Arabidopsis thaliana: one gene and its partners. The protein of the gene in region 3 interacts with the protein of the main gene of each other region in a pairwise test. Each region holds a gene or a part of one and is shown on either strand. Other genes may lie near its edges. The genes, in order: AT2G23830, KAT1 and SAR1.

What was found.
Region 1: the proteins of SAR1 (region 3) and AT2G23830 interact in a two-hybrid assay, tested with the Arabidopsis thaliana proteins (one study listed by BioGRID).
Region 2: the proteins of SAR1 (region 3) and KAT1 interact in a two-hybrid assay, tested with the Arabidopsis thaliana proteins (one study listed by BioGRID).

Annotation. Positions count from the first base shown.
Region 1 is NC_003071.7:10,141,350-10,145,104, reverse strand, and holds AT2G23830 (PapD-like superfamily protein), read right to left. Parts: upstream 1,638-3,755; 5' UTR 1,460-1,637; coding exon 1,408-1,459; intron 1,282-1,407; coding exon 1,211-1,281; intron 1,125-1,210; coding exon 1,043-1,124; intron 937-1,042; coding exon 821-936; intron 723-820; coding exon 594-722; 3' UTR 391-593; downstream 1-390. Other genes in the region: AT2G23820 (Metal-dependent phosphohydrolase), read right to left, coding at 2,433-2,503, 2,588-2,629, 2,722-2,838, 2,951-3,061, 3,142-3,179, 3,264-3,388. UniProt on the Arabidopsis thaliana protein: May play a role in vesicle trafficking.
Region 2 is NC_003076.8:18,745,223-18,748,977, forward strand, and holds the start of KAT1 (1), read right to left. Parts: upstream 2,185-3,755; 5' UTR 1,340-2,184; coding exon 1,161-1,339; intron 1,006-1,160; coding exon 790-1,005; intron 706-789; coding exon 550-705; intron 455-549; coding exon 397-454; intron 243-396; coding exon 1-242. UniProt on the Arabidopsis thaliana protein: Highly selective inward-rectifying potassium channel. This voltage-gated channel could mediate long-term potassium influx into guard cells leading to stomatal opening.
Region 3 is NC_003071.7:14,043,536-14,047,290, forward strand, and holds the start of SAR1 (synaptobrevin-related protein 1), read right to left. Parts: upstream 2,009-3,755; 5' UTR 1,803-2,008; coding exon 1,589-1,802; intron 1,137-1,588; coding exon 995-1,136; intron 902-994; coding exon 781-901; intron 589-780; coding exon 526-588; intron 400-525; coding exon 250-399; 3' UTR 1-249. Other genes in the region: RALFL18 (ralf-like 18), read right to left, coding at 2,986-3,297. UniProt on the Arabidopsis thaliana protein: Involved in the targeting and/or fusion of transport vesicles to their target membrane.

The DNA of each region.
Region 1 (3,755 bases), 3.9 Mb from region 3:
TAGGTAATTTAAGTATTTTGTTTACATTTGGTTATATTTGTATAAAAAGTAACAAATATATTTACGGGCAATCGGGTATTTCGGGTAGATTTGGGTATATATGAGTAAAAAACCCGAATCCAACCCGAACCCAAAAATATTTTGGGTATTTTTGGTTATTTTTACATTTTTACTAAAATAACCGAACCGACCCGAAACCGAACCGAAACCGAACTGAATTTTTAGAATACCCGAATGGTTCTCAACCTCTTACCCGAATAGACCCGATACCCGGAAAAAAAGAACCGAACCCGAACGGGTACCCGAATGCCCACGCCTATCTAAGATATGTGTTATTTTATTTGAATTTCAAAGGTTTGAGCTATAAGGATATGATTATATAGATGGTCAGTGATGTTTAGATTTTAGTGCATTATATACAAAGTAAACTGGGTCTCATAATTATTTTACAAACAAATTACTGTACAGAATCAATCGAGTTTTACCAGCCGCTATTACGAGCTCGTGGCAAGCAGCTCCAAACGCCATAGCAAGAGACATCGCTAAGAGTGTTACTGGTGATGAATATCGTCAATGAAGTAAAGAGAAAATGTCTAACAAAAACACTGAAATATAAACCCTCTTCTAGTCCTTGGTGAACTAGTGATGTTGGTCGTGGTGGAGCAAACATAAGTAACTCTCAGTTTAGTCTCCTCAACTACATGCCCTGATTCTTTGCTAAACTGCAAAGTTGCTCATCAGAAAAAAACGAAACAAATGCTTTAAGGAACCAAAAGCCAAAGTGTGAATTATTCATCAAATCAACAATGTGAATCAGTACCATCTCACGAGTAACTTCTTTGGCTGTGACTCCAGGACTAGCCAGTACACTTTGAATCATAAACTTTTCAAAGCTCTGCATATCAGAAGGAACTTCCTTTTGAGCTTGCATGGTCACTAGACAAACAACAAATAAAGATTCATCAAATTCCTAGTCCAAGAACAAGTTTGGCAGTTGAAGGGGGAAAAAAAGTTTCCCCAAGAAAACGATTAGAGAACGGACCAAGAACTTTACAAGTCGACTTTGGAAGAATAAGTCCATAATTAGGCCTAACGCAATAGTTGTTCCGATTTGTCGTCTTAACCTCAAATAAAATAAAGAGAATCACGAGAAACCTTAGAAACACGAGATAATCACGACAATTTAATGACTCGGAAAACTTTGTTTTACCTTAAAGGCCACGTTATTGTCTGTCTTGTTCGTCAAGTAAAGAGAGCAAGACATCTGCTTCTTCAATTCAACTACATCAACTCAGCCAAGTGAATAGCGAAATTTAATAGTAAACCATAACTCAACAAAATCTGGTTATGGACAAGAAAGACATGCAAAATCAGGGAAAACAAGAAAAAGTCAAAAAAAAAACTTACAAGGGAATTGAAGATACATAGGCTCGATTTCGAGAAGCTCGTTGTTACTCATCTTGAGAAGATCGCCGGAGATTCAAACTTTTCCGATCGAGAGAGGGAGAGGGAGAGAGATCGAATGAAGAGAGTCGGAAAAATCGTTATTTGTCTTGTTACGACAAGGGTAAAAATTGTCTGTTCAACTAAAACTGAAACATTCTTTGAAAAGTTCCATGTTGAATAATCAGCTAAACCATTTGTTACGACTACTACTATTATATTATTATAAGTTTTGCAAATTAAAACCTCTACCAATTTCCCTTCTCCTTCCGAGTCCACTAAGTAGCTTCTCGCGCAAGAATCATTTTTAAAAAAATATAATAATTTAATTGTAGACTTGTGGTTAATAACATGAACATCGGAAAAAATCAAAATCTTAAAGGTTAAGATAAAAGAAGCTCAAAATCGACAAAAGAACTATGCGGATAAGCGTCGGAGAGAGTTTGGAGTTTTCGGTTGGAGATATGGTTTATTCTAAAATATGTTTTTAAAAAGAAAAGACATAACTACTAATGTTAATTTTGTGAAACCCAATGGTAAAAGGTTTAAAGACTTTTAGACTAGAGAGAAATCTAATCTAAGTGAGGTTAGTAGGAGATCTAAGTGTGGCAGGGAAACTACACTTTATGAAGTGTCTATACTCTATTCGTTATTCTTATTCAACTTTTAACCCGTGCAAAATCTTGAAACAAAACAAAACAAAGAAAAATCATTTGACCTCTATTAACGATCCGAAAATTTATATTGAGGAACCAATGATACTTTCTTAAAATAAAATTTAAGAGCTTGATTAAGTTTTTTGATCTTCATTAGCTATCTATAAGATAGTCACTAGCTAGCTATCTTTTATTAGTGATAGTAACAAAACAAGTAAAGACAGCTACGAAGATTATTAGAAAAACCTTAAGATGATTAAATTTGAAACGTACGAGTATTTGAACTCCACTGAGCTAGACGTTAAGAAACAAAAAGAAAGAGTCAAGTGAGAACTAATGTTGCTTTCGTCTTCTTGAAACAATCTCCGACGCCCAAGCCTTGCCTATATTAGTCTGGAACTTCCCTGAATCAAACAGTAACAAGCTTAAAGCCTTCAACCATATTCAGATTATCTATTTAGAGTATAATGACATACAACAAAAATTACCTGCTGTTGATTGGAAAAACTCTTCTAGATCTTTCCCTTGATCTGCGTTAAATAGCAAACAAAAAACAATATGAGTATTAGTTTCTGCTAAATCTCTTATCGAAAGAGAGTTTCTTTTATTGGTCATTCATTACCTTGTTCATATTCCAAAGCTTGTAGTATCAGCTCAACTTTATCGAAATCTTTAACAACTTTGGCTTCAGGTGAAGAGTTCTCTTCGTATTCTCTCCAAAGCTCAGCGATTTCTTTTGCTGCAATTACGATATATACATTTTTAGAAGTGATGATAAGTGTTATACAAATGAGCATAAGAAGGTCGAACGAAGATACATAAGGTATTTCAACAATAGAAGAGAAACAGACCTCTTTCGCCTCCACCCAAGAGTTTGCACATGTGCTCAAGTGCTTCGCTTTCTCTTCGGTTTTTCTCTTCTTTAGATATCCCACAAGAAGGTGTAATGTCTCCTACAATGGCTGCTCAACAACAACTCGACTAAATAACTCGTGATTAAGAAAATCGATGATTAAAAATCTCTAAAAGTGAAAGAACTAACCTTCTGCAATATCATGAACAATCGCCATTTTCATGCATCTATAGAAAGAAAAGTATGTATATAAGAAGAGTTTTTTCACAGCAGTTGAAACTTGAAAAGAGAGAAGCAAGCAAGAAACTTACTTGTCTCTGTTAACACCGGGGATATCTGAAGAAATTAGAGCCATAAGACCCATCCGATACATGTGATCCGCTATAGATTCTGGATCTTTCACATCTCTCTTAATCCATCCAGCTCTTGGAGTTGTCTATTTGATATAAAAAGATGGTTTACCAAACGATACAGCACACAAACTCTATCGTTAAATCAGCAAACAAAAACTCACTTGATTCACAAAAAAGTAAAACACATGACAAACTTCACATCTTCAAGGATTTAGTAATCACAGACCATTAATCACATAAACTTGAAATCATTTCATTCCCCTAAACGAATTCTACAATCCGTCAACAGATGCAGCCAAGCTTGACAATGTTTCATTTCCGTAACAATCCACTATACATTCCAATACAATCCATTAAGCACGAAACGTTTCAAGCTATCTCCACACAGATCCATCATAACATTGATAACAAACATCCACACAAATCTAAAAAACAAATGATCTTATATAA
Region 2 (3,755 bases), on a different chromosome or scaffold from region 3:
TTGAACATCATGAAGAAAATGTCAAAAAGCATTTCTCTTGGGTTCTCAGCATGAAAATCTCCATATCCCGTGGTCGTTAATGTCGTAATGGACCAGTAAAGAGCAGTCACATATCTATTCCATAGACTTGCTTCTTTGAAATTTGGATACACAGCTCCAATCCATGTCTTTCTTGGATTAGGATATCTATCTGCAATCAGGTAGTTGAAACATCCAGCACAATGTATAGCGAACAAAGTGACCTGAGATCAACAAGCACGTGTAAGTCACTAGCTTTAATATGGTGTCCATTTAAAAGACAAATAAACCCTAAGAATAGATCACCTAAATGGACAGCCCTAAGCTTAAAATGCTTTATTATAAGTGAGATTAGTTTTGCTCTGTTTTGGAACTAACCGAAATGAGTTTTGTGCAACGTATCCAGAAATAGTTGAAACGGATATCTTTCTCAAGCCTGAAGCAAAGGTAAGAGTTAGTTAGACTTGAGTAAGCACTTTCTTAGTTAAACCCTAAGAAGAGTATGGTCTCTTAGTTAGCATAGAAGCAAACCTTGCAAATAGCGAGCTAACTCGCCGGAGACGCCATAACCTGAGCATGCTAAGAATTCTGAATCCTAGTTCGCTTCCGTTGTAGTTAAACAAGAGGCTTAGTGGCTGAAATGGTGCTGTGGAACAAACATCGAAAGCGAACCACGTCGAAAGGTACCTGAAAATGTTACAATTTCAAAACATACTTTGAGATTCTCATTCACTTATAAAAGGTTTCAAGTTAAGAAAAAAGGTTTCTCACCTTATTGCTATTTTCTTAGGACTGTCAACTAGAAGATAGGAGTGGCTATCGAGATAAGCGACGAAGAAGGTGAGAATAATATCAATGGCGAAGAAGCCATTAACAATGTTGTCGATGATGAAAATCGCGTCTTTTTTATAGGTGATGAAAGCAAATTGAAATGGGCAAATCCAAGCTGAGTAAATAACTAGTAATACTAGCCACATCTCCCACGCTCTGTTTCAACAAACAGAGGATTGAAAACAGAGTCTTTAAATATACTTATAACGTGAGTAAAAACAGAGTAGTTAAAACTACTTATAACCTGAATAGTTGAAAACATAGTTGAAAACAGAGTACTTAAAACAGAGTTTAGTAGATGAGAAAATTACCTGTAACGTGGATTAAAAGGAGAGATTATGTGTTTGCGGAGCTTAGTAGATTGGTTGATCCTGGCTCCAAGAGATGGTAGAAGATCGGCAGAGAGGAAACTACTCTGTTTTATGGTGTCTATATTGTATTCCTCGACGCAGAATCTTTCGAAGAAATTTCGAGTCCAAGAGATCGACATCTTTTTGATGATCTCTAAAGACAAAGAAACTGTTATACCTTTTTAGGCTTTCTTCTTGGCAAGGTAGTTATAAATAGTGATGAAGCTTGTGACAAAGCAACACGGGGAAACTTCTCTTTTCTTCTTCTGTTGGGACCTTTATGGCAACTTGTTGTGACCCATTTGTTATCTTTTTTTCTTTTTGGTTGAGAATTTGGCAGGGAAAGGTTAACGGCTTTAAGAAGACTCAGTGCACCATTAATGCTGCAAAACCAATATGGTTTCGATTCGAGAAGCAACAATGGTGAAGAAAAGGCGTAAAATGCGGAACGGAGTAAGTGTGAGATGATCAAAAATCTTGAGAGATGAGACAGAATTTAAGTGGCAAACATTGAGCTTTTGCGGTAGATATCATCATATTTTGTTTCTTTTTTGACACGAAAATATAAGATTCGAAAGAGGAGGAAGAAGAAGAGGAAACGCAATCTGTTTCTTTGGAGGTTTCTACTTGATGAGATTCATGACTATCAGACTATGGTGTGATGTCCACTTTCCTAGCATTTGAAGGTGGGAGTGATATATAGACATAGAGACACATATAAAGGAAGGAAGGTACGTTTGGTGTTTGGTAAGTGTTAATGGGAGGACAAAAATGGGCATGAAAATTATGGTGTGTTCATTTCAGGAATCCAGAAATGGACCAAGCAAAATAAAGAAAATAAAATGGCATTTGACAGAATATGTAAGGGGCCAGAGTATATTTTTTTTTCTTTCTTCGAAAAAAGTTTTATTTTCTCATCAACTATTCTTAAAGTATATGTCTCTATTTTATTTTCTAGTCCCCAAAACCAATCATAAGTTTATTGTACTCATTGCAAAAAAAAAAAAAAAAAAGTTATTGTTCTCATTTTGGATTGAGTTTTACTAAATAGCCATAAACTTGGAAGATTATTTCCAAAACACTCATATAGAAAATATAGTAGTCCATTTAATCTTTTTGCATGGGAAGTGAAACTCTAAGATTATTTTACCGAAACAGCTTATATAATGTATTATTATTATAGAAGCTACGTGAACTCTCCACGTGGATAAACCGAATCTAGGTAGCGAATGAGGCTCTCTAAACAGTGAAGTCCCAAACTCTCTTCTCACTCGGACACACTCGCTGGCTCGCAAGCAATATGTCTTTGTTGTGTTTTGACTTTGGTTTATACTTAGTACTTAGGAGAAGACACACCAATAGGAGATCTTCACGTGGTGGGTTTTTTCATGTGTGTACACTTGATTTCTTGTCCGTCCCATACTTCTCATTCCCGTCGGTATGGTGGCCCCTCCCTTCTCCTTCATGTTCTGATTCCATTTACTAATTTCTTATAAACCCTTTCTAGATATATGTATGTTTTCATTTCTCTAGTGTGCTAGACTCTTTATATCTTAATCTCACTAATAAAGGAAAAATACGTAATTTATAAATTTTAACAAAATAATAAACTTGATTTCTAAATTCTTAATTAAGAATTTAAAAATGACATCTTACTCATAGGAGGAAATATATGAAATGATAAATCCCATAAACTGTGAAAGAACAAATCTAGAGTTTAAAACACAACATGATAAAATATATATAACATGGCTATAAATATTTTTAACAAAAAGGTGATAAATTATAGATGAATTGTACATTGACTACATTCTGTGCAAATGAACATGTGCTAACCTTTTCTAATGCGGTTATAATTGACATGGGAAAACAAAAGAAAAGAAAAAAGAATCAGGAATTTTTTCTACAATAGGAACGAGAAATGAGAGAAAACAAATTGAAACAACTAAGAATAAAGTTATGAAAAATCATGGTTTATAATAAAACACATTTGTATACGAATATTGATTTTTTGGTAATCCTAAATATTTGACTAAACTTTTGTTTTCGTTCGCTAGTATAGAATGCCAAGTATAAATTCTTCAAACCTTTCCGCCAAATTTGTATTATTAAATCATTCCAAAGCTTTTTGTTTCTGCGTCGATCTGAGCCCGTTCGAATGTATCTTTCATGATTCCTTGTTGATATTTTGTTTATTGTCTTCCTGAATCCTAATATCATTATAGAAACAAAACAAAACAAAATAAAGTAAATGAGAGATTCCTAATATAAACATAACATGAGCTAACTTTAATATTATTTTCTCGTGATTAATTAGTTTTGCCAATAAAAGTTTTATATTAGGTTTTATGATCTAACTTACTTTTTAAAAGATGATTATAACTATTGAAAAATGAATTATTTCGGCTTTCAAATTTTAGTATTTTGTGATTTTTTTTTTGTTTTTTAATTTCGGTTATTCATATATTTCAAATCAAAAGGAATTACTGGGTTACTAAACCTTGCCTTAAAAGACCAGAAATCGTAAACTGCTTTAAGTTTGCTATTTGCTGTCTT
Region 3 (3,755 bases):
GTGTCAGTACCAGCAATAGCAACATTGCAGATTGTCGAACATGCATACATATATGTATAATATATATAGCCTATACAAAACAAATTTCAAGAAGTACAATCTAAGAAGAAACATATAGTATGAGAATATAGAAATCACAAAAACAAAAACAAAACAAAAAGGTAGCACAACGAACTGAATGAAGATATTCTCAGAGATCTTGGGAAGCACAGAGCGCAGTCGATAACGCCGGGAAGAAATGTTCCAGACTTATTTACCGCAGTTGAATCCCCCACAAATTGAGAGGATGATGATGAGAATCAAGGCAATGATAATTGCAAGGACAATGAGCTTTATCTTCATGTTCTGAAACCACATCTTTCTTCTCATTTGAGTTCCTTGTGTTCTAAAATCTTGCGCCTGTGATAAAGTCGAGTTCAAATTTAAAGTTAGAAACCCAAGAAACAACAATCAGTAAGAGAAAGCTGCAAACTCTTGCATGTCTCTGTGTGGGTCTATTGACTTTGAACCATTTAGAAAACAAACCTGTGAGCGAAGGTTTTCTGTTTTGTCAACCAAAAGCTCAATCTTCTCACCACGGTCAAGAACCTGCAAACGAATGCATAAACGAGTTAACAACAGAATATGTCTTCACAACCGAGAATAAAACATTCCTCTCTACAGTTTATGCTTTACGAATCATAAGATCCTGGTACTAAAGTCATACAAGCTGAACTCTGTTCGAAAAGGTTTACAACATAAAACTATATCGATAAAAAGAAAAAAGGGTCAGAATCAAACCTTCTCAATGTTTTCCATCATAACACCTTTAACTTCAGACACTTGAGCTTTAACCTTAGCAAGCTTGCTAATCTCATCAGGATGATCCATGCAATACTGCATATGCTCTTTCAGTTTCGACCTTTAGAGAAGCCAAAAAGAAGTCCATCAATAACTATGCCCATGAATCATAGACCCTTTTCAATACCAATCAAAGAGATCAAAAAACACATACCCAAATTCTTTATTCAAGCTGTTTGCTTGAGCAGTTGCAGCCTTTCCACCACCATATCTCTTGTTGAAATCCTCCTTAACTCGTTCCAAGAAAGCCATAGGAATCTGCCTCCCAGCAGAATCAACTGCAACAACACAATAGGCTGCACAAACGAAAACAAAACCGGTCCATTTTAAACTCTATATTAAGAGATAAAGCAATAGATTCATCAATATATCGCTGATAAGAAAGTTAACACTATCATAAAGAGACCATATCCGCCATCAACATCACCCAAAACCCAATTAGGTTTAGTAAAACAGAGTTACATAAAGAACACAATACACTAATGCCAAAAACTTCATGATATCGAAAGCTACACGCAAATAAGCAAAGAATCAATAGATCCAGAACAAAAATTGCAAATATTCATTGATAGATCCACCAAAAATATCACTGATTACCATAGATCTAACATCAATTAATTATCAACGCCAATACATAATTATTACTGGAAACTATACCAAACATAAGAACTCGATTCATATTTCTCAATTAGGCAAAAAATCTAATTCAAACAATGGATAAATCAAAACACAAACAAGCTACGCTTACAGATCGAGCAATATTTTGACTCACTGAATCCATTTTCGACGAGGTAATTGAACGTGTGACCATCGCAGTTGTAGGTAAACTTGTTGTTAGAAGAAGGAAGCTTCTGAAGGCACTGAGCAGCGATTGATGTGAAATTGCCTTTGAAATCTGTGAACTCAACGAGGATAACGGTACCACGAGCGACGAAACTGTAGATCAACGATTGTTGCGCCATTTTTTTTACTCAAAAACGACGCGAATCCGATTTTACGGGACCGATCTCAGAGATTTATATTGGCGAGCACGAAGGCTTTAGAGATCTAGAAGACTTGACGCTGAAACGCGTAGAGAATCGAGGACTAAAAGAGAATACGGTGAAAAAGAAAAGTGTAGGAGAAATCTTAACGTAGTTGAAGAAGAAAAATCAAACCCTTGAGTTTTAGAGGGCAAAAAAGTTATATTTCAGAAAGATTTATGCAGATTGTGCAAATTGAAACAATCTTGAACTTGAGGACCTAAAAGCAAATTCAAATAATCAACTTGTGGGGTTTTAAAAAGTTGGTGATGTTGGTGTAATGGTATTTTGTTATTTGATAGTTTCAACGTATTTTTATCAGCGAAAATGAATTTGGATAAGCTAGTTTGAACTTTGACCTTTGAATAATTGGTTCCTATATTATCTAAATCTACTATTAAAATTTAAAACTTAAAAGTCATCAAAGATTATTACATGTGGTTGGATAATAATTTTATAAATTGTCTTTTTTGGGGTATTTGTAGAAAATTTGGCATATTTGGGGTTTTGGTGTAATCTAAATTAAATGACTAAATAAGAATATTTTCAAAGTTATAGGAAAGTTCAATGGTCTAGTCACCATAATAAATGATAATCTACAATTCTACATGCATCCCATGTCCGCTCCTATTAATTCAAATCTATTTTTTTCTTGATTTAATTGTACTTAGAGGTTGCTTACTATTGTAATATATATACCTGAATTTCACGTGTACACTTCTAAAGTGTATCTTATATTTACAACAAGACTATATTTTGTATTTAAAGTTGAAATTGGTAGGTGTGAATGTGTGATAGTTTTGGAGGAATGGTTTGGAAATATATCGATCGTTTAAATAAAATAAAACAAGAATATGGTGCGAGAGAAGGGATCAATTTGTTTGAACTTGACCGCAAAAATACTTTACGATGAGATCAATTTTCACTCGTCAATCATTTGGTGAGAAAAGGATGACAATTTCTAAACGAAGTTTATTCTAACTCTCTAGGAGATAATGCCTCAAAGGCTTACAAATTGCAATAAAATATAATAATAAGAAATGTGATTGGAAATACTAATTAAAAATAAAATAAAACACACCAACGAAAGGAAGAAGAAGAAGAAGAGAGAGGTGGTTTATGTTTAATTTGTAAAGCGGTAACATCCTGTAGCGGCACTGCAACCACGTCGGTATTTGTTATCCGGTTTATCCGGTTTACCATCTGGTTTGGCTGGTAAGTTTTTCTTCAATGCTTCGTAATCTATAAATCTCTTAGCTTGAAGTATCCTATGGCTCACATCTACACCTGAACTCATCTTCATGATCTCTTCTTTTTCTCCACCGTCCATGCAATTGTCACATTTTACCGGACGAGATCCGACCACAAGCGCTGGAAGCAAAGCTGCCGAGATGATCATCACAGCGATGATCAAGAGCTTCATGTTATTCATCATCGAGACTTATCAAGAGAGTGTAAAGTTGAGAGTAGTAGTTGTTGTTTCGTTTACGTTGAAATGGTTTGTGATGAAACACTTGGTTAATCTACACTTTTATAGAGGTTAATTTTTTTTGTAGAGGTTCATCGAATATTTGACCAGATTCTTACTCGAAAAAGAAAATCAAAATTACTCCGTCAAATTCATGGAATAAGAAATGAATACGGTGCCCAAAAAAGATGAACCTACACAAATAAATGATTCAGTGGATTTGTTTTGCTCTGTATAGTGATCAAAGTCGGTCAATTCGCATAATTAATTGGTCAAAGCCTCAATAATGATTTCCATATATGATAACATTGATGGCTCGTTTTTAACACAAAACTGAGGGGATGCATTGGAACATGATTATAACGTCTTATACTGCCGTTATAACGTCTCCGGTATCAAAGACAAGATACTATAACGAAAAGAAA